6 linked regions of the Bombyx mori genome follow. The main gene of each other region encodes a partner of the protein of the gene in region 6 in a complex. Links are inferred from orthologs where the notes say so. Each region holds a gene or a part of one and is shown on either strand. Other genes may lie near its edges.

Evidence for each region.
Region 1: THO complex subunit 6 (region 6) and THO complex subunit 2 share a complex: the UniProt entries of both Homo sapiens proteins name them as parts of the transcription/export (TREX) complex. The link is inferred for Bombyx mori from reciprocal best matches to the Homo sapiens genes THOC6 and THOC2.
Region 2: the proteins of THO complex subunit 6 (region 6) and THO complex subunit 1 are in contact, whole or in part, in a cryo-EM structure (PDB 7APK), measured with the Homo sapiens proteins. The link is inferred for Bombyx mori from reciprocal best matches to the Homo sapiens genes THOC6 and THOC1. Residues at the interface, in NP_001334633.1 of Homo sapiens: Leu57, Ser58, Ser59, Glu60, Pro312, Glu313, Lys315, Thr330, Asn331, Gly333, Tyr334, Ala336; in NP_005122.2 of Homo sapiens: Ser227, Pro229, Ile230, Asp231, Tyr232, Leu234, Arg236, Val270, Ser273, Tyr274, Asp309, Leu312.
Region 3: THO complex subunit 6 (region 6) and SAP domain-containing ribonucleoprotein share a complex: the UniProt entries of both Homo sapiens proteins name them as parts of the transcription/export (TREX) complex. The link is inferred for Bombyx mori from reciprocal best matches to the Homo sapiens genes THOC6 and SARNP.
Region 4: THO complex subunit 6 (region 6) and THO complex subunit 3 share a complex: the UniProt entries of both Homo sapiens proteins name them as parts of the transcription/export (TREX) complex. The link is inferred for Bombyx mori from reciprocal best matches to the Homo sapiens genes THOC6 and THOC3.
Region 5: THO complex subunit 6 (region 6) and ALY share a complex: the UniProt entries of both Homo sapiens proteins name them as parts of the transcription/export (TREX) complex. The link is inferred for Bombyx mori from reciprocal best matches to the Homo sapiens genes THOC6 and ALYREF.

The regions. Positions count from the first base shown.
Region 1 is NC_085119.1:9,008,740-9,012,239, forward strand, and holds part of THO complex subunit 2, read left to right. Parts: intron 1-21; coding exon 22-242; intron 243-508; coding exon 509-677; intron 678-750; coding exon 751-864; intron 865-1,487; coding exon 1,488-1,599; intron 1,600-2,350; coding exon 2,351-2,435; intron 2,436-3,052; coding exon 3,053-3,122; intron 3,123-3,355; coding exon 3,356-3,425; intron 3,426-3,500. UniProt on the Homo sapiens protein: Component of the THO subcomplex of the TREX complex which is thought to couple mRNA transcription, processing and nuclear export, and which specifically associates with spliced mRNA and not with unspliced pre-mRNA.
Region 2 is NC_085117.1:15,880,659-15,884,918, forward strand, and holds the start of THO complex subunit 1, read right to left. Parts: upstream 2,801-4,260; 5' UTR 1-2,800. UniProt on the Homo sapiens protein: Component of the THO subcomplex of the TREX complex which is thought to couple mRNA transcription, processing and nuclear export, and which specifically associates with spliced mRNA and not with unspliced pre-mRNA.
Region 3 is NC_085113.1:6,731,124-6,733,797, reverse strand, and holds SAP domain-containing ribonucleoprotein, read right to left. Parts: upstream 1,385-2,674; coding exon 593-1,384; 3' UTR 501-592; downstream 1-500. Other genes in the region: S-adenosylmethionine sensor upstream of mTORC1, read left to right, coding at 1-469. UniProt on the Homo sapiens protein: Binds both single-stranded and double-stranded DNA with higher affinity for the single-stranded form. Specifically binds to scaffold/matrix attachment region DNA. Also binds single-stranded RNA. Enhances RNA unwinding activity of DDX39A.
Region 4 is NC_085132.1:2,065,620-2,069,756, reverse strand, and holds the start of THO complex subunit 3, read right to left. Parts: upstream 2,801-4,137; 5' UTR 2,705-2,800; coding exon 2,486-2,704; intron 2,341-2,485; coding exon 2,219-2,340; intron 1,864-2,218; coding exon 1,728-1,863; intron 525-1,727; coding exon 421-524; intron 1-420. UniProt on the Homo sapiens protein: Component of the THO subcomplex of the TREX complex which is thought to couple mRNA transcription, processing and nuclear export, and which specifically associates with spliced mRNA and not with unspliced pre-mRNA.
Region 5 is NC_085114.1:10,512,187-10,516,266, reverse strand, and holds ALY, read left to right. Parts: upstream 1-1,294; 5' UTR 1,295-1,351; coding exon 1,352-1,555; intron 1,556-2,205; coding exon 2,206-2,422; intron 2,423-2,500; coding exon 2,501-2,695; intron 2,696-3,327; coding exon 3,328-3,476; 3' UTR 3,477-3,580; downstream 3,581-4,080. Other genes in the region: replication factor C (activator 1) 5, read right to left, coding at 203-267, 356-390. UniProt on the Homo sapiens protein: Functions as an mRNA export adapter; component of the transcription/export (TREX) complex which is thought to couple mRNA transcription, processing and nuclear export, and specifically associates with spliced mRNA and not with unspliced pre-mRNA.
Region 6 is NC_085116.1:3,183,656-3,187,747, forward strand, and holds THO complex subunit 6, read right to left. Parts: upstream 2,660-4,092; 5' UTR 2,483-2,659; coding exon 2,379-2,482; intron 2,297-2,378; coding exon 1,907-2,296; intron 1,782-1,906; coding exon 1,619-1,781; intron 867-1,618; coding exon 546-866; 3' UTR 501-545; downstream 1-500. Other genes in the region: serine/arginine repetitive matrix protein 2, read left to right, coding at 3,489-3,727. UniProt on the Homo sapiens protein: Component of the THO subcomplex of the TREX complex which is thought to couple mRNA transcription, processing and nuclear export, and which specifically associates with spliced mRNA and not with unspliced pre-mRNA.

The sequences.
Region 1 (3,500 bases), on a different chromosome or scaffold from region 6:
GAAAAATGAATTTGCCCGCAGTTGTTTTGCGACATCACGTATTCGGTGATGTCTTGCACGGAGGCGGAGGCGGCGCGGTACGGCACGTTCCTCTGCAAGGTGCTGACGACCGCCATGCGCTGGCACGCCGACAAGGACGCCTTCCACCGAGAGTGCGCGCACTACCCCGGCTTCGTCACCAAGTACCGCGTCTCCAAGCAGTTCACTGAAGCTAATGATCATGTCGGATATGAAAACTACAGGTGGACTACATTTCTGCAATACTGTGATCTGATCTTACTGCATGATTAATGTGTTTGCATGAAAATGCTTAAGTCTGAATTGATAAAGTGGTAGACACAAAATCATGAAAGCTTTCGAAAAAGCAACCGAAAATCTTCTGGTGATCTAATATGTTAATATAAACTTATATCGTTCACTCTTTGAATACTTCAAATTAATTCGTAAAAAAATCGATAACTCGTAATCGATACTTCGAATGTTCACTAATCATGTAATCGGTTTTCAGGCACGTGTGCCACAAATGGCATTATAAAATAACCAAAGCAATGGTTGTTTGCTTGGATTCAGGCGACTACGTGCAAATACGTAACGCCCTCATAGTTCTAATAAGAGTCTTACCTCATTTTCCTGTTCTGGCTAAGCTAAGTCAAATTATCGAAAAGAAAATTGATAAGGTATTATTTGGTATCGTACGTTTAACCAAATTTCCAACAAGACAAAGTAAATCTTAACAGTGATTATTTGCAGGTTAAGGAACAAGAGAAAATACAAAGACAAGATCTTTATGTGTTAGCAACGGTCTACAGTGGACAGCTACGGAACAAGTCCTCGAATATGATGAATGAAGCTGATTTCCATCAGGTAACATTTTGCTATCATCTATAGGCGGATTTGTACAAAGACAGGTTCTCGATAGTGAAATGACGACAAGTAGTACAGAAGAGACTTTCCTAATATAAACTTTGGGTTTGTCACTTGAAAGACCGTGTGGAAGCGCTGTACAGCCATTGCTTACCCTCGGTACAGTTGAAGTCGACAAGCATACTCTGTGTGCACACGAGTGATAGAACGGAAATGGCGTAATGATAATATTTTTGTTTGTATCAGAGAAACTTTTTATTAATCAAGCAGCCGTTAGTTCGAACTTTATGCTACTGAAGAACCTGTCGAGTTTGTGGCAGCAACCTGAATTAAGTGTTACTTTCGTGGTTGAAACATAAAATAAAACATAATTGTCTAAAGTACCGAATTTTGAACTTTAAAGTCTCAAATCGTTTGAAATCGATTGCCATACAAAATATTTTTATTTATTTATTTAATTTATTTATACTTTATTTAAGTTTTTTTTTAAAACCATAACATTTTGTTAGTAAGAGTTACTTATAATCTATGTTAGTACCTTAAAAATCTAACAAAATAAAAGTATGGATGAAATAATAAAGGCATAGATGATACAGCAATACAACGTGTATGGTATGTTTTAGATGAGCGACAAGCACAAAGCGGCGAGCACCGCGGCCGCCAGCGCTGCGCCCGCCAAAGAAGAAGTGGTCGCAGATCCTGAACCCGCCCCTGCACCCGCGCCCCCACCACAAGGTCTTTACACACTCCCACAGAGTTATATCTGCAGATCGGGTAGCTAGCTTGATAATGATTGTCAAATATACCCATTAGCCGCGCCAATAAAGAAACGAATCTAAAATGGCGGCGGCGATCATGCGCTCTCACTCTAAGCTATTGCTGTCTTTAATCGCACACGGCGCGTACTGCATACAAAAAAAAATATCAGTTCTGATTTTTTCTCACACTGTCTCGACGCGATCTATTTTCTCTCAAATTTGTTATTTCGTTGTTATTTTGTTATTTTTGTTAAATTTGTTATTGTTATCGTTTTTTTGCGCCACGTGTCGTAAATAATATGGCCTCTGACAAACGAGGAAAAGTCATTCACAGTGATGTAAAGTAAAGTACATTCTCATTTGTTTTTTTATATTTTTTTACAATAAACAACTTTTTCTTTCTATCTTTCTTGTTATTTGTTTACCCTACTATCTATCAGGTACATAGACGCCATTTTCGATTCGTTTCTTTATTGGCGCGGCTTATAGATGTTGTGACTGAAAGGAAAATAAATAACGGTAATGCTCACAAAAACTTTGTTTCGTAAGATAATTTGGGGAGTACACAAGTAAAGAAACATTTATTGCGCCTTCAAAATTATCCTGTATATTTGTTGAAAGATCAATTTATAAATTAAGATTGCGTCTTATGTATACGTTTAGGTATAAATTGTTACTGATTTCATGACTGGTTATCAATTTCTCATATTAGCTAAATTTATTTACAGAAAGTGAAAAACGGGACTCGCGCAATAGCGACCGCCGCCGAGACGAAGCGGACCGAGATAAAGATTCCAAAAGAGAATCAAAAACGTACGTACACTACCTTCAATGCTTTTTTTTTCTCCGCGATTTGAGGATCTTGTTAAACTTTTATTTCGTTCCGAAAAACATTTCTAGTGGATAAAAAAGTTTTGTTTTTCATAATTCGGTGTTTACTTTTATGAGTAACTTATACACTACTGCCTTTTGCGAATACTTGTCAATGATTCCTCTTTACTCATGAGCATGATTATAGTCAGACCGGTTTAAGTATAGCCACTATTAAAGAGGTAGACTTAAAACAATACGAATATATAATCGGTCGAGTAAATCAATCACCTGATGTTAAGTGGTTACTGGAGCCCATAGACAACTACAACGTAAATGCGCCACCCACCTTGAGATATAAGTTCTAAGGTCTCAAGTATAGTTACAACGGCTGTGGCTTCAAACTGAAATGCATTACTACTTCACGGCTGAAATAGGCAGGGTGGTGGTACCTACCTGTGCGAACTCACAAGAGGTCCTACTACCACTATGTATATAAACATGTCGACTTGTAAATGTCGATACCATGATTTAGGTTGGTTGATGCTCGTTGTTACTGACTCGGATCATTTAACTGTTTCTATTTCTGTTCGTGCATTTATAGTGTAACGTTTTTACAGCTCCACAAAGGAAAGGTCTAAAGAAGAAACCCGAATTAAAGATAGATCACCCAAAGAACGTTTACAGAGGGTAAGTTTATACATATATCATATTAAATAAATGGAATTTTCTTAATGTATTGTTTATACAATATGTTATTTCTTTCGAATTACTGTGATAATTTGTTCGGTTAAGTAGGTAAGTCGTTTTTTTTGGTAGTCGGCACTTTTGTGCCGTATTGGGGGCACAAAAATTGCTTCTTTTAACTAGTAGGTTGAACACGTAAGATTCTAAAGTCTAAATTATGTTTCGTACATCAACAGGAAAGCAATTATTTAGAAGCAATCTCACCGCCACACGAACATCGCAGCACTTCAGATGATGTCGAACGAGGTATTTAATTTTTATATAAATAAATAAAAATGGGTTATCTTTTATTTATATTTAATTTTCTTTTCTAATAATAAA
Region 2 (4,260 bases), on a different chromosome or scaffold from region 6:
TGAGTGGCATTGAAATTTATGAATTGAACAACGTAGTTCTAAAAATCTTCTATAGCTAGAAACTAAGTAAGGGATTTTCCTGTTACGCCAGAAAGCATTTCGTCCATTAATAACTTCACAAAGATTTTGTAGTTTTAAAATTAAAGGGTGTCCATGATATTGTTGAATTTTAAATATAAATCTATCAGAAAGGTATTGTCTACGCAAAGATAGCGGCGGTTCAGAGCATTCTATTTGTAAAGCATTTATTGGAGTACTATTCATGGCTCCAATAACGATCCTGAGACTTTTATGTTGTAATAAATCTAATTTATGTAGAGGTTCTTTGTTTTCAAGACAAAAAGTTATGGAGCCAAAGTCTAATATACTACGTACCAAAGCATTATACATTAACCTAAGTACACCAGGATGAGACCCCCACCAAACGCCACTTACAGCTCTCATAATATTTATGTTTTTCTCACATTTTCTTACAATGTCGTTGATATGAGCGTTACCGTTCATACTAGAATCAAAAATGCGACCAAGAAATTTCGCCTCTTTAACCACTGGTATTCGTTCTCCATCAACAGAAATATTTACGGTGGGAACTTTTCTTTTCCGCGTAAAAACAACTATGAGACTTTTAGATTTAGATAACGAAAGATTTTGGGCAGAGAGCCAGGATGATAACTTGTTTAATGAATCGTTAAGAGTTTCCGCTGCTATTTTAATATCACGGTTAGCAGAGTAAACTAAGACATCATCTGCATATTGTAAGATGGAACAGGAAGGATCAACATTTAAATGGAGATCGAAAGTATAAATGTCATATAATAGAGGACTTAGAACAGAACCCTGAGGGATACCTTTCCAAACTTTTCTTATTTTGTCCTCAAAACCAGGTATATGTAAAGAAATAGTCCTTCCAGTATATAAATTAAAAATGAAATCAATAAATTTTAATGGTAATTTTAAATCCGACATTTTTTCTTTTAATTTAATTAAGTTTACATTATCATACGCGCTTTGAATATCTAAAAAGGCTCCCACAACCGATTCAGATTTCGAAAAAGACAAAAAAATGTCTGTTGCAAAAATGGCATGGCTATCGGACACACCTTTACCTCTTCTGAACCCATATTGAGAGCAAGGCAAAAGATTGTTATGTTCTACGTACCACTCAAATCTTTGTTTAATTAAATGTTCTGCTAATTTTACCAAAACAGATGATAACGCTACAGGTCTATAAGATAAAGGATTATTTGAATCTTTGTTAGGCTTTAATATAGGTATTATAATTTGATGTTTCCAGGAAGAAGGTATTATACCAGTGTCTATTATAGAATTAATTAAATTCAGTAAATATGATAGGGTTATAGGTTTTGAATTAATTAAGAAAGAGTAAGGAATACCATCACATCCTGGAGTGGAGTCTGATAACCGGTTCAATACTAATTGAAGTTCCGGCAAAGAAAATGAACACGCTAAGTTATTATTAATATTAGAGTTATCTGATATATAAGAGTATGTATAAGGCAATTGGTCAAACTTAGGAACCATAGTGGGTGCGATATTGTCCAAAAAAGGATTAATCCATTCTTGCGATGTATAATTTCTAGATGGGGCTATAAAAGAAGATCTAAACATTCTTATATTTTTCCAGATTAGGGAGGATGGCGAATCAGGCGAAAGCTTGGAACAAAATCTTTTCCATCCCTCTTTTTTCTTTTTCCGAAGAAGCCTTTTAGTGGCCGCTTCAACATTTTTATAAAATAAATAACTATGCATGGTCAAACATTGCTTATTAAGTTTTTCTGCATCATTTCTTTTATTGACAGCTTCTGTACATTCTTTGTCCCACCATGGGGGAGAAGATATTTTCTTATGGGCAACATTCTTTTTGGGGATATGTTTATCTGCAGCTGCTAAGTATGCCGTAATAAGGTTATCATACGCCTTGTTTATGTTGTTATAATCATCAAGAGTAGATAAACTTGGAAGGGACATAATTTTCGATTCGACTTCTTGACTAAACAGTTCCCAATCATAGTTATTTAATCTGAACTTAAATAACGGCGGTAGTGGATTAAAAGTGCCTGTTTTACCAGAGGGCAAGGAAATTAATAAGGGATAATGATCACTGCCACAGGACAGCGTTAAACATTCCCAGTTTAACAGTGAAGACAAACTGGCTGAACTAAGTGTAATATCAACATAACTTGGGGCTTGACCCGGAACTGGGCGACGAGTGGGGGACCCATCATTCAGAACACAAAGATTATGATCATTTATTATCTCCATTAAGCCATTTCCCATGCCATCATCGTTGGGTGCTCCCCATAAGAAGTGGTGAGCGTTGAAATCCCCTAGAACTACTATTGGTTTGGGTAATGATTGAATGATTTTGTCTAGTATAGGCAGAACAGATAAATCCTTTTCTGAAATGTACACAGATAGATATGTTACCTCACCTACTCGGGCAGCCACTGCTTGTAAAATATCCGAGTTAAAAGCTGGGATTGGCAAAGAAGAAAATCTGTGATTATTACGAATTAAAAGGGCTGTGCCACCATACCCATCATGTCTATCATGTCTGAGAATATTAAAACCGGCCATACGGAAATTGGAACCTGGAACTAACCAAGTTTCTGATATGGCTAGTAAAAAAATATTATGTGAATTAATTAAAGATATAATTTCATGTTTTTTAGGAACTATACTTTTACAGTTCCACTGGAGGACTCTGTCCATATTTAAAAATATTGAAAATTGATAGTGAAATATTATTTATAAGTGAAAGAGCAACATGTTCTGGTAGTTCTGAATTAGCAATAATATTTATAAGTGTGGATAACAATTTATTTAGTGTGTCAGAAGATGGCAACTGTGTATCCTTTTCTTTGTTGGATTGCAAAGCGGAACCTAGTTTACCTTGAGACTCATCAAATGAAATGCTGCGGATCAATGATTTATATTCTGATTTGTCATAACCCTTATTTAAAATAGATGCCTGTTTAGGCTTCTTTATAACAGTTTTTTTGTAAGAGACAGAATTTGAACTATCTACATCATTTAAACTTTGGGCAGATAGTGGAATAGATGATGTTATTTGTGAATATGATTTCTTTACAATAGGAAACAATTTAGAGGCTTCTTGGTATGATATGAGGTTTTGAGACATATGTTTTTTAATATTTGTTTGTCTACTAAACTCAGGGCAAGATTTGTTTGTAGCCATATGTTCACCTCTACAGTTAACACAAGAAAAAGTCTCAGTATTACAAGCCAGTCCGCTGTGCTCTCCACCACATTTATTACATCTAGGTTTGCTCCTGCATTGAACACGAGTGTGTCCAAAGCGACAACAATTGAAACATTGTACCGTTGGATAAATATACTGTTCAACTGGAATACTTGAAAAAAAGGAATACACTCTAGAGGGAAGAGACTGTCCGTCAAAAGTCAAGACCACAGTTTGAGTAGGAATCCATGAAGTTCCATCTGAGTTGACAGACTTCCTGTTTAATCTACGGGATTTGATAATTTGTCCATAGCCTTCTGGGATTTGCAGATTATCTACAATGTCCTCATGAGTCCACTCCTGAGGGATACCCTTTATCAAACCCATTTTACATATATTATATGTAGGAATCACTACATTATACAATGGATTCATAGACATGTTGGATATGAAAATATTGGCATCACTATGTGTTTTAAAAGTTATTGCCAGGCGATTACGACCTACTCGTTTAATTCCATCCTGTAATATATTACCAAGATTGCTTTTCTTTAGAAAATTTCCAAATTTAAGTGGGTGCAGTGATGTAGTACTATTAGAATCTGAGATTAAAGTAACATGGACCATATATGGGCCAGGATCCTGTTCAGTGTATTTTTTTCTGTAAACAGAGTCGGCCATTGGGGTCTCAGATGGTGTCATAGAAGGACTCGCTGAAGTAGGCTCTGGTGAGGTCTGTACAATTTGGCGAGGAGGCACTATAAGCTTATTTACGTTATTTGCAAGATTTCCCGCCAAAGCCTGCTGCAGCGGGCGCAACGAAAGTTGTTTGTCCGAGATCTTTGGTTTAAAAGAATTAACAAGTTGTTTCTTTTTTTGGGATTTCTTCGATTTAACGTTGACAAATTCAGATACATTGGAAAGGTCGAACTCATCACAGAAAAATATTGGTTGGCTAAACCTTGAGTTAGTCGTATCAGTTGTCTCCTCAGTAATATTCGGATCCGGGGGATCCGTTCCCGCCTCCAACTCCATAC
Region 3 (2,674 bases), on a different chromosome or scaffold from region 6:
AGACAATAAAGTTAAAGAAATAGGAGAAAATAGCTATGAAAGTGTGACATTTTGTTTTTTATTAGAATATATTCCAACTTCCCAGCTTCGAATAACTGCATGTCAAAAAGCCTATGACATATTGAAACCTGGAGGGTTGCTTACTGTTACCACACCGGATTCAAAACACGTTGGAGCAAATAGCAAAACAATGAAGTGCTGGCGTTATGCATTAGCCTTAATGGGTTTTTCAAGAATTCGTTATCAGAAATTTCAACACATGCATTGTATGGCATTTCGAAAGTGTTTATTGAAAGATGTAGCTATTCGCTGGGCTAATATTCATAAAGAACCTTTTATGGAATATGCACTACATATACCACAAGATTTTAATACTAATGAAATTAGTAAAAATTCTGCCCAAAACCAAGTCATCCATCACATAATTGATGATTTTCAAGAATTGCCATTCTATAACATGAACGAATGATTTAATATGTAATTAAAATGCTTAACAAATATTGACTTAGTAGAATGTTTTATTTATTTAAAACAATACTTATATACTAATCTTAATTTGTTAGAGTAGACTTTCCATTATCAGAAACATGTTCTATGCAACAGCACCAAATTTGGCTTTACGTTTTTCCAATTTCTCCTTTAGTTCAATATCTGTCATTATTTTGGAAACAGATTCACCAAACCTCTCTGCTCGCTTTCTAAGTTTTTCCATATTTTCGTTTAACGTCCCTGTACTAGTGAAGGTGTTCTGATTATCATTTTGATTAAACCTTTGTTTCCTGGCTTCCTTTCTCTCAGACTCGGACATTTTAATAGGCAAACCAAATCTTTTAGCACGCAACTCTAACCTTTTCTTTGGATCTAGATCAGTATTTATTTTAATGACATTATTACTTTCGGATGCCGTTTTCGGCTCTACAGATTTTTCATTAATTTGATCATCAACAGTTTTAGAACTGACAAGTGAAATTGATGAGGGTCTATTCAACACAATTTTCTTTGCACTAGCATTTTCTGCACTTTTATCTTTGGTTTCTGCGTTGGTTTTGCGTTTTAATGTTCGTGTTGATTTTGTTTCTACAGCGATTGTCGCAGTAGAAGACTGTTCCGAAAGAACTAAATCTTCGTTTAAAGTGTCCACGGCAGTATCATCAAGTACGTCTGTTTGGCTTTTAACTTCTTCGTCTTCAAAAACTCCGTCCGAGTCCATTTCGTCAAATTCAAAGTTGATGTCGGTGTGTTCATCTTGAGATATAATTGCAGCTTGTAGTCTAGCGATTAACTCTGCTTTGTCGCCGGCGTATGAAAGTCCACGTGATTTTAATTCTTTACGTAGTTCAACAACTTTCATCTTAGTCACATCGGAAACTGTTGAATCCGCCATAGTAATCAAAAGTAGTTTACGTTATTGAACAAGGAACTTTTAGAATGCTTACACGCGATGCTTAGCGTTAGCTTACACTAGAAATTAGAAATACGAAGTGTATAATCTATGTTCACTACTTTTTTTAAGAGATTTTATGACCTGGTAACTAACACTTTTAGGTCATGTCCTACTTTAATATTTAATATTCTTAATTTTATGAAAAATTATATGGAGTAAAATGAAATTAAGTGAAGATGATTAATTTGAGACATTAATCAACCAGAATGAAATTAAATTAAATAAGATGAGATGATATGAGATGAAATAAATCTTAGTCAAATATTTACGGAGATTTTATCAGTTGACTTTTTGGAGGATCCCGAGAAGTTACGTCCAGCGGCTTTATTTCATTTTCCCACATTTTTGCACTTTCACAGATATTAAACAGTTAATAAACCACCGTTATTACACATAACGGCCATCTGGTGTAGTGGTAAGTGACATGGTCACTACACAAGGGGGTCGCGGGTTCGAATCCCGCCAAGGGAAGATATTTGTATGATAAATATAAATGTCTTTTCCAGGGTTATGGATGTATATTAAATATATGTATGCGTATAATAAAAATCTTACATTTAAATCCGTTATCTGGTACCTGTAACACAAGTTCTTTACGAACTTATCACGGGACCAGTTAACGTGGCGTGATTGTTAGTAAATATTTATTTATTATTATTTATTATTTAAACCTGAAGAAACACTAAATAGACAAAATTAATCAAATCACACAACTTCACTCCTCGCGTTCCCGCCAAAAAGTCAGTTAGATTACAACGTAAAATGGAGCATAGATTACACGCTTAATTAAAATAGCTGCGAAATTTACACAACAACGTAAGTACCTGACAGACTAAAAGAGGGTAGAAGTTTAAACAGCACAATCTCTGAAAAAATGTGTGGAAAAGTGATTAAATGACTTTTTTACCGGGAACCCGGCATTGTGTGAATTGATTAATTTTATTTAATTTAGAATTTCATTTCGTCATGCTTAAACGTGTTATTACGGCAGCTTAAATTCCGATCCGGTGATAGATTCTGCGAAACACTCCTCTTGCTAGAGCTAGTATTAACAAACTTTCTCAGATTGAGCAGGTTGTAAGTTCACCCATCCGCGAGAACCTGGAATAGGTAGGGAAAACATTTATGTAATTAATAAGTACAAAATCTCTAAAAAATGTTCCAATTATACGCCGTATTTCTAATCAAGTGATATTAAGAGTGTTCATGTCGTAACTACGTTCATGCTTT
Region 4 (4,137 bases), on a different chromosome or scaffold from region 6:
TTCTCTCTGTGTTACCTATCCTTTGTGTCAGTGCCTAGACAATCTAGTTAGTTGAAGCAGCTTAAATACTACTGCTCCTATGATACCACAAAATGGGAAATTCAAACCACAGCTATATAATTTGTCGTATTTCTTCTTTACGGATCATACCATTTCCACTTTCTACACTAGCGTTATTTTGTTGATTCTTCGAACTGTAACTTGCTGTTTACAGGTAGACATTTTTCAACTTGTCCCCTACACAAGATGGAATACTCCTTAGTTCTATCCTCCATGGCAAGAATGAAGTAAACTTCAGAATACATACAAACTTTAGTAGCAGCACTTACAACTAACAAATACAAAACTATTTTTATAGTAATGTTGAAACTATTTCCTTCTAGCAGTGAATTGATGAATTAAATGTTATAAAATACTAACGTCATAATATGTACGCATCCCAGTCCGTTGGTGAGGAAGAACAAGTCCGATGTATTATTCCATGATATCTCGTTCACTTCAAAGTTAAACTGTTCTTCTGTTACCTGCAATAAATAAATGTCTTAATGTATGCAGTAACTAAATCGATACAAATCACCCTATATTCATGTATTTGAAAAGACAGAATCTCTGGTATGTATCCTCTTTGAGTGGTATTTTTTGGTATTAATTGGTCAATCTTTAAAAGAGTGTCAATAAAAAAATTACAATTGGCTTAATAATACTATTTTATCTGGATGATACAAGAAATATGACCAAGTTAGACAGTGGATTTTAATGATTTTCATACATTTTATATATGTAGTTGAATTTTTATCAATGCTGTGAGAGATGATAGATATGTATGTACAGTCAAAATCTGTTATAACGACATCGAAGGGACTGCTCAAATTCAGTCGTAAAAACCGATAGTCGTAACAACCGGTGATGTTTAATGTGTATCGTGCAAGTACAAACAAATCGATAGGGAATTATTGGAAAAATATATTTATACAACAACGTACATTTTGTTTATTACACATAAGTACAATGCATATTAGTTTTCTGTGAGCATAAAATCTGTAATTTTGGTCTGTTTGGAACACTTCTGCTGTGCGTAGATATTTTGTAATTCACGTTGGATTTTAATTAACGTATCGTCATCGCTCTTTCCAAATGGTTGAAATTGTCGAGTGTGATAACCATATTCCTTTGCTAAGTCTTTGTTTGAAATTCCGCTCTCTAGCTTGGATATAATCCGCGATTTTTCTTCAATATTAATTTGTTTTCTTTTTCATTGCGACATTTTTAAAGTTTCACGAATAACTCCATAAAGTTTTGATGCGTCTTGTGTATAGATAAGTAACAAACTAACTGAAGAGATATGAAGAAGCGGGCTTTGACTCTACTGCATGCACGTGTTTTGTTTCTAAGAATTAGAAAAGACCCTACACTAAACTAAATCCTATTGTTTTCTTTCCTGATTTTAATATCCATTGAAGACAAATGTGGATACCTATTCAAATTGTTTACAATACAGCTTAGCTGGTCGTTCTAACAGATCTAATTCTCCGAAATATTAGTTAAATGTGGTCGTTATATGAGGTATGTCGTTATTAGCAATGTCGTATAAAGCAATGTTTTTAATAAGGCGGTCATATGGCATTCAGCCGGGACCTTTGTTCTAGGTTATTATAACCGGTATGTTGTTCTAAACGATGTCGCAGTAAACGGTTTTGACTGTATATAAGTAAAAATTCATTACTCACCACTTTATAAGTTTTTGTATCGATAAATGAAACTAAATCTTCCTTGTTCCCTACCGCAATGGTGTTGCCATTAGGAGACCATGCTATATTTATGTTTTCACCTTTGGTTGGGATTGTCGCCGCGCATTTGTGTGATCTATAAATTTTATTATCCTGTAGAACACCCTTAGATTTTCTATATTATAAGAAAAATTTAAAATTAATAGTTTAAATTAAGTCACCATGAAAAAGCCAACTGAACTCAATGGTATCAATCTTGTTCAGGAAGATATATTATGAAAATTTACAATAAAGGTATGCCACACTCTCTACCGCAAAATAGTATTAATGTTCATTTGGAACTAACACTTGTCTTTTATGAATACGATGGAATCTCAACTATTGTATTCATGTGTGTTGATATAAAAATTTCTAGATGTTTATAATTTTTTTTGGATATCTCATATTAATATTTATTTATAAAGGGCTAATAATTAACATCCCAGTATTACCGTGTATCCCATATCCTAACAGATTTGTCTCCGCTCGCTGTACTCAGGAGATCAGGATGTGACGCATGCCAGCAGAGTTGATCTACAGAGCCTGTGTGGCCTTTGAAAATAAAATCTTGACTCTGAAATTTACAAAATTTGTGTCTACTTATTTTTATTTCTAGGCTGCACAATTTTTAAGTTATTGCTTAAAAACAAAAAAAAATTTATTATAACCTCTCAAATTTAGTAGGGATTTTAAATATTTTGAAATAAACAATAACTCACCAATCTACTCCTCTCTAAATTAAATATTGCAACGCTTTTATCGAATGACCCAGAAGCCAGCTTTCTACCATCACAGGACCAGCCCACGGAATGTACTTTGGATGAATGTGCAATGTACTCGCGTGTAGTATTGTGTGACGCAAAATAACTACGTAATTCACTTAAATCTTCTATAGGAGCTTGCGAATGCTTTGAATCCTTCATAGCTTTGGTTATCATGTAAAATTTAACATTAAAATTTTAGTTGTTTTCCTGTTAGTGTTTTTTGTTTATTTGACGACTGTTCCTTTCATCGGACAAGCAAAGGAAATCTAACTCATACAGGCAAGTCTTTTGTAATAAATGCCAAAACCTCTAAGTTGTATGAAATTAAGACTATTTGGCAGCAGCACGAGAAGCAAAGTTGTAGGAATGATTTCATTATTTTATAGAAGTAAGATGAAACAGCGCTCATAGAAATGATGAGAATTTACTGAGATTTCCGGGATAACCGAAGCTACGTCCAGCGATTTTGTTATCCTTAATTTTAACCTTTTAGGGTCGTATTAATGCGGATCTGGGTTTGCTTTGGAAGCTGAGAGTAGACCTCTCGTTCTCGCAAAAAGTTTAGAATGCTTTCTAAAAATATCTTTGTAAAGTTCATTTCCATAAGTTTTAAGGTGAACATTACAAAAAGTTACAGAAAACCTTAAAAAATAATTTGTATGCCGAACTTTTACCTTATAATCTTGTACTGTACCTTAGTGTTCGACATTTATTTAATTAACGGGTTGTTACCAGGTTGAATGGATTAAGGCGTAGAGGTGAAGCTGAATACGTTCTGAGATTTAAAAATAAAGACAGTAGAAGAAATCAATTATTTATTCGTCATTCACTTGCCCATGTATTCTCGTCGCCACACCTTTATTTGGCTCATGAAGTAAGCCATTGGAGTCAACCAAACTGTGAGCATAAACGCGCAGTGCAACAAAGCCTCCTGAAAAAAAAGGGAAAAGCACAACGAAAATAGCATTAACAATAAATAATGTATCACATCACACAGCAAGCAGCACTTGGTAAGCCGTGGCTTGGCTCTGCCCCTGGCATTCCTGATGTCTATAACTCATAGACTATGAGCGACGGTAACTACTTACCATCAAGTGGGCCGTATGCACATCCACTTAGAAAGGCAATAAATAAACACAAATATCTGCACATAAGTGCGCAGAGAGTAATTTTTCTGAATTAGTAAACTGATAACCATCCGACATATTATTTTTTAAGTTTACTCATATATTTTTAGTATCAAGCGTTACTTTCTGTGTTAAGCCGCTTGTCAAAATGGAAGTTCGTTCGGTAGAGATCCTTTATACGCTCTTTAAATGGTCTGGGACCTCATCAATCACAATTTATATCTTTTAATGCGTCTGCCGTGTTAGTGGATGTTAGCTTACCTCAATCATCGTTACTTGAACAAGCTTCACTGCAATTCTTTTTTTTTTTCTTACCTATTCTAGTAACCTCAAGGGGTTATATTAGATTTGCCGAACGACTAACTGAGCTCACGAGATTTCTAATCTAGTGACGTTGCTAACACTAGCCCTAGCAAGAGCAGTGCTTCGTAGAATCTATCAGCGAATCGGAAACGCGACCCACTGCGAAGATCCGGCGAG
Region 5 (4,080 bases), on a different chromosome or scaffold from region 6:
AAAAAGAAAAATCCTTTACTTTATGTTACAATGTACAAAACATACTGGTACGAAGAGGGGGTTTATGCATTAACTGTTATAAGGTATTCGTATTACGGTTAGCAACTTAATATCAACCTGATTCAAGTCCAATTTTTATAGCCTTAAATTTGATAGTCTCTTTAAAATAATGTGATCATTAGTTTCAGAAATTTATACTTACTTGTTTTTATTATATCATCATGAGATACTAAATCATCCAATCTTTTTGGGCGATATTTTTCAACCCTGCGTAAAAACAAAGTGTTAATCGTCGTAGTAAAATATATTGAGTTATGATTTTTTTGTTTAAATCATTGTTAATGATAGTTCATACCATGGCAAATTTTGGCCTGTTTCCCCAACAGTCATATTGTTTTTATAACAGTATTTTTAAATCGCTTCTAGTATGTAAGTACAGATACTTTAATAAAAACGATTTATTTAAATTGTGGATTGGTTTACAAGCTTGAGGAAACTATAAAATTCAAAATTCGAACCATAGATAGTAGTAGCAGTTTTATTCATAGATTATACACTTAATATATTATTGGAAAGGCAAAGGTATCATACCATAAAGCGTAATCTTTTATATATTTTTTATATGTAAAATGATTTATGAAATGAAATGAAGTTGATTAATATGAAACATAACATGAAATGAAATGAAATGAAAATGAAATGGAATGAAATGAAATGAGATGAGATGATATGGGATGAAATATAATCTCAGTAAAATGGTAGTCATTTACTGAGACTTTTTCAGTGGACTTTTTAGAGGATCCCAAAAAGTTATGCTCAGCGGCTTTGTTTCAATTTTCCCACATTTGTGCACTTTCACAGATATTAAACAGGTTATAAACCACCGTTATTACACATTTAAACTTGGAGAAACACTAAATAGACAAAATAAAACAAAACACACAACTTCACTCCTCGCGCCAAAAATCTCGAACCATAAATAATACACTTCTTAATATTTGAATTTTGAGTGCATTAGCATTACGTGATTTGATTACCTAGTTAAAGATTAAAACTAAGCGCTTAATTTTTTAAACAGAAAGATTTGACCAAATCAACTGGTAAATGTAAAATAAAATAAACTAAGACAGATGTGTAAGATAGTCTTTATTGACTATAATTTCTACCAAATTTAAAGCTCAACAATTTTTTTCAATCTACTGTTGAACTAATATTAGCAATCTGGCAATAACGAATCTTTTCTTCGGCCATTTTGTCACCGTCTACTTGGGAAGGAAGAGTTCTAAAAGGATTGTTTTTGTTTTTGACTTAATTTTCATAGAAAAAATATTTAGAATTTCAAATAATCACCATGGTTGATCAAATTGAAATGGCACTGGATGATATTATAAAAGCCAACAAAAAGACAAGGATTGGAGGTGGTGCTGGAAGAAAATTTGATGCAAACAAAAGAACAGGACGTGGAGGCGGTGCTGGATTTCGTAGCAACCGCTCTGGTGGTGTACAACGAGGTAGAAATCGTGGAGGCATAACGAAATCTACCAACTATTCGAGGGTAATTCCAATAATTAGATGATTCTAAAATTACAAATGGCGGGCAAATGTGACGCATCAATGTATCTAATTTGTTCTCAAAAAGTCAAGCAACCATATGGACCATCTTGTTGAAATAGTTTTAGACGAAATTTGACACTTTGATTCAAATCAAGACCCTTATTTTATTCGTATCCGACCTATTTTCAACTTGAAACCATAATCCCAGCAACCATATTGTTATCTCCATCAACGTTTTTGTTTTGCATTGTTTACCTACATCTGCCGGAAAATTCTATGATGGATGCTGATATAAAAGTGTAATGAATTCGAGCAAAACGTTACTTTTGTGGAGATGTCTACAGTGCAGTTTTGACCAATTTATAGAATTGACTTCAGGAGTTGAAAAGTAAATAAATGGACTCCATGGACGGCTGAGACTGGTTGTGCTTCATAACTTATTAGTCTTGTGTCTGTGTGATGAAAGTGATAAAACAGTTCTATATTTTAATTTTCGAAAAAAAACATGTAAACTACATCAAATGTTATTTTATCAAGTGGTTCAGATGTCAATGTATTAATTTTAGTGCCTAAGCTTTGAGTTTTTATTATATTCAAAGGAGGCATAGAGAGTAGCCACATGGCTAGCTCTATGAAGGATGACCTTTTCAGGGTGATGTGAACAGCACTTGGAAACATGATATGTTCAATGATTTTGGTGAGAGGAAACTTCAAAGAAACAGTGGGACCATAACAACTGGTCCTACCAAGCTGCTTGTATCCAATTTGGACTTTGGAGTATCAGATTCAGATATAAAGGAACTATTTTCGGAATTTGGCATCCTCAAAAGTGCATCTGTACATTATGATCGGTCAGGTAGATCTTTAGGTATGTATCACAAAGCATAAAAACTTAGTTTGTTCCATTAAGTATTTCATCATACAAGATATTTTTAAATTTTTTTAGGTACTGCAGATGTTGTGTTTGAAAGAAAAGCAGATGCTGTGAAGGCTATGAAACAGTATAACGGAGTGCCACTTGATGGACGGGCAATGAATATACAATTGGCAACATCTGAAATCAATACTTTAAGGCCCGAGGCTAGAAATCGAATTGGTGGTGCGAGTGTGGGAGGTACTATACGAAACAATCCTAAAAGAGGTAAGATATTTTCCAGGATTTGTTTGTATGGGAGGAGTGATAACAAATTACATCATTGTGATTTGTGACAAATCACCATATACAAGATGGCCTCTTAGTCGAATCAATCTGGAAACACCTAGTTATTGTCGGAAAGATACTTCAATAAGGCCATTGGTCATGATAATCGCCATATTGTTGCTGCCGCTGACTATTTCTACCCACAGCAGAGACTAACTGTTGATGTCCTAGACACATAATTACGGATCCATCAGATCCAATAACTCTTGCATTAGACACCTGCTTTAACACTAACCATACTCATTGAACTCTAAAGAGTTTGATGTGCAACCTAATCCATAGACAGACTACTGATCTGGTAGTAGATTCATTTGCAAAGCAGCTGCCCATGAATTGTGTTAGACCTCTTTCGGAGGTGTTCAACTGTTAGCAAACCCTTCTCTTCTGGCTAAGCATTCGTGGTGTAACTGGAAAGGCCTCCGGCCCTAAATCCTTCATTTAAAAAAACATTATTAAAATTAATTACTTTTTTTAAAACTGATATTTTCCCACTAGTTCTTGTTGTACATTTTCACTTTACTGTTTGCAAGTTACAAATTACTAGAAATCCATTAATTATTTTATTTTTGAAGGAGGTGGAGGAATTAGAAATCAAAGCAATAGTGGAGCACGTGGGGGAAACAGAAGAGGACGTGGTGGTGCAGGCAGAGGCAAACGACCAGTACCTACTGCAGAACAATTAGATGCAGAGCTTGATGCATATGTGAAAGAAATCAAGTGAATAACTAATGAGAATGTGCATAGACACTCAGTTTTATCTTAAAATATGAATGAATAAGCTTTGTGTTCTCAATGTTCTAGATTAATTGTAAAAGTATAGGTTATACTAATAAAAGACTACGAATTATAAAGAAATTATAATTCTAGTACATGTATTAAATTGGATAAATAAACCCAGATTTGAAATTTTCTTGTATAGATTTCTTTTTAGTCTGTAGTTGTGTACACAAGTGTAAACATTTTTAAGGAGGTTATCGTAATTCAACTGTATTACAGTGAATGCATCTGCATTCGGCATCTGCCGATTTGGAAACTGCCTAGATCTTAAGCGTATCACTGCTCCACCTCCAAACATCACTACCTGTGTAGGTTAAAAATTATACGTAGCTACTGGTGATGTTATTCGTTCAATGTGGAAGTCTGTCAAAAACAATGAGAAATACTTTTTCAAAAAATTTTCATGGTCATTACACTCAATTTCAGCACATCAACAGTCATATTTAAAGCTACGGCAACATCAAAGTTCATTTATAAAAGGAGTTGTCGTACCCCCTTACAGGGGCACGGAACGGGCCTCGGGCAAACCCCACTGCTTGGACAGAAGC
Region 6 (4,092 bases):
CAAGTACCGACTGGGCGCAATTGGTTAAATATTGTTATCCAAAAAACTTTATTGATGTTTTAATGTTGCATACATGCATATTTTACATTGTCCATTAAAAGCTCAAAATATGTACAGGTGACTGAGAAAATGAAAAATTAAGTTATTTAAATATCCTAGAGTAAATTTTACTGAACTTATCATAATATTAGTAAATACTGTATATTAGTCGTCTATTATCAAAGGTGGCAATCTGTGCATTTGGACAAAAAAATGTTATTGATATGTCAATACAGATTGATTTGAATATAATAGTCTCCTTCAAAGAATACGGTTCAAAACCTGCATTAAATAAAGGTTAATACTTAACCTGTTATTTATCTAAGATGTCGCTCATAAGAGTTTTGTGACTACCAATGGAATACAAAGTCAATAATTCATTTTTCTGATTTACCAATAATTTTCCAAAAGTCACATTACCGGCTTTGATAATAGTCGACTCATATAATAAAACTTAGGTCTCGATTTAATTTCATTTAATTTTTTCCACCTAAATATGCTTATAACTATCGAAAATGTAAAACTTGATCTTTGTAATTAAGAGACGTGCACAAATCTATTTCTGGACTGGAACCGGCTAAACTTAACAGGGTGCTGTATTTAGTTCTTAGCACCGCACTGTATATGGTCGTGGCAGACACTGGTAGTTCTACTCTCACCTCACCCGAGTAGCTCATTTGGTAAAAATGTTTAGAAGTACCACCGGCAAACACACAGTCATCATGAAAGAATGACACATGAATCCCATTGTCTGGAATGTCAAAGACTGTCACTGCATCTAATGAACGAAGGTGCCACAGAGACAATCGAGGTCCACCACCGCATACCTGTAAATTTTTTATATATTCCATTATTAATTATCACCCAGGTGTTAAGTGGTTACCAGAGCCCATAGACATCAGTACGTTGTAGATGTCTATGGGCTCTAGTAACCACTTAACACCAAGTGAGCTGTGAGCTCGTCCACAATCTAAGCAATAAAAAAAATTCTACAATGTAAATGCGCCATCCATCTTGAGATATAAGTTCTAAGGTCTCAGTATAGTTACAACGGCTACCCCACCCTTCAAACCGAAACACATTACTGCTTCACTGCAGAAATAGACAGGGTGATGGTACCTACCCGTGCAGACTCACAAGAGGTCTTACCACCAGTAATTATGCAAATTATAATTTTGCAGGTTTGAGTTTCATTACACAATGTTATTCCTTCACCGTGAAATCAATTGTGAACATTGGTCAAGTACGTATTTCATTAGAAAAATTGATACCTGGCTTGTGGGATTCTAACATTGTTGCATTGCTAGATATGATTGCACCGGACATCTTATCCTTTAGGCCACAACGACTTCGACACAACTTTCCTTAGGAATGCTATTGATGGCTTAAGAGGGTTTTAAATAAAATAAATCGCCTTTTACAACACACACAGAAAAATATCAGTCACAATATTATTATGTAAATTCCCTATTAAACAAAAATAATTTTTTCACTGATTTTCATTTTTGTTTTTATTTTCACCTCTGGCATTTTAATGATAATATGTATGAATAATTAGATTGATGATAGATGAACTTACAATCCAGTCATCTCCAAGAGCTGCTGAGCCAATCCACTTGCCAATATCAGGTCTGCTGACCTTATTATTAGTGTGCGGTTCCAATTTATTGTGTGATTTTCCACTTCTAGTATCCCAAAGCATAACCAAACCATCTTCGCCTGCTGAAATAATCTGTTGGTTTCTGAAATTTTTTTTTAAATAACTTCTTTATTACTGTAATATTAGCCATAAGCATATATGTATATCACTGTCAGGGCAAATATATTAGCAGCTGAAATAAGGCAAATAAACAAACAAACAACTTACTTTCCATGAATAGAATGAATAAAATTATTATGTCCCTTATAAGTTGAAATAAGGCTCCCATCTTCCAAATTAAACACATACACATTATTGTCTCCACAACCAGCATACAGCTTCTCACTGTCTTGAGATAGCCACATGCAGTTCACATCGTTGTAGTCCAAAAAAGTTTGGGAAGGAATCTTTATGCTCCATACAGGTTTTGATAATTTAACAGAAACAACAGCCTTCCAGTCCCATCCGCATATTTCATTAACGGTACCAATTATAAGGAATTTTTCCGTTGAAACTAGACTACAAATCTGTTTTTTTGAATCTATAGAATGTATATGTTTTGGTTTGTTGTATTCAACAGATAATAATTCTAGTACTGGATTTAAAATACGATCTAGGCTGTAACAAAAATTTAGAATGAATTTATAAACCTCTCCAAATATTAAAATATACTTCTATAAATTTAATACAAATAACATACTCAAATACAGCAAGATCTCCATAAATATTGCCGGCCACTAAATATTTACCACACGGCGATAAAGTCTGAGATAAAACAGTGTTATACAACATTTTATTCAACATGGTAAAAGTTTTGTGTTTGCTCAGAAACTAGACTACTTCGTCAGTTTTTCTAGATGCCATGCAATATTTTAATTGAAAAAGAAACATAAACAACCATAGGTAAACAACACAATTTAAAGCTACATATAACCTCTATTTCGAATGCAGCGATTTTTTTGCGGCATACACTCTTTAGGCAAAGGGAACAGTGTCCATGCTCTATTTTAAAAAACCAAAATGATTTAGCTCTATAGCTCTTTATGACGAATTGAGATAAAATTAAGGCAAATTCACCCTGTATAAGAACAGAAATTTAGTAAGACCTAAGGTTATTTTTTTAACAAAGGAAGCTATATAGACGAAGCTATCTTTCCACAAATCAACTTAATAAATCACGTATTAATTTATTGACTCATTACTATTATAGGTTAGAAACATTTTAATAAAATGAAATAGGTACTTCACTTTACTCTTACTAAAACTCTTATTACACTATATTATTATGTACTCTTATCTAAAACAAAAATATTGTGGTTTTATTGACATTTGCCTAAGTTTCTTTTCATATATTTCATTTTGTTTGCCGAAAACTCATTAAATCATGTTACATGTATTATTTTTATTCAAAAATTATGCTTTTTATCTTATTGTTTAGCGATCTCAAAATAGAAAAGTTATTCTAAAGTTCCAATTGATTTGCTTGACTTTGTCATTGTCAGTTAAAAACTATAGATAAAATGAAACATCTAAATTCATAGCCATTTCGTTGTCTATGAATAATTCAATCTAAAAAAATCAAAACCAAGCAAGATGGTCGTGTTCAATTCTTTTTAAACATAAACATATAATCTAATAATATTGTGAGTTATTGATCATTAACGTTGATACATTTTTTGAAAGAGAAATTGTTATTTATAGATTATTTTACTAACTTTTCTGGGAGTTTCTAATCTCGTGGCCTAATTCAGAACCTTCAATTTGCACACCGTAAGTGTTACGATTGGTTTTAGGTATATAATACGAAATAATGTATAATGGGATCGGGTTGACGACGCCACGGGGCTCCGGTACAAATGGCTACGTACAGAGAAATTGGGCCACGGTAAGAAAAACAAAAGACTCCGTCAACTACCGGACTGAAGATGAGATCGCCAAGTTGGATTCGGCGTCAAACAAACAACCAAATAGAGAAATACTCGATCATGAGAGGAAAAGGAAGATTGAAGTCAAGTGTGCAGAGTTGGAAGATAGCCTGGAAGAACAAGGGTGAGTAGTTAGCATAAATACAACAAATACACAGAAATCGGATTCATGGTATTGGAGATTTGTTCCGGGGATGGTCTCTTAAATTTTTATGATATGAGGTTGGCACACGTTGGGCTTTATAAATCAACATTATTTTGTAATTCTTGCTACCTTTTTCAGGGTTTCCAATTATTATATATTTTTTTTCTAAATTTAATTTTGTTTGGTAATTTAATATTCATATTATTAGGCTTTTTCTTCATATTTCAAGGAAACCGTGATTACTTTAACAACTATGACAGTCTGCTAATAATATTACTAATGAGTTATAATAACTGATGATAGCAGTAGGTAATCATAGGAAATTTTATGTGCTGTGAGTTTTT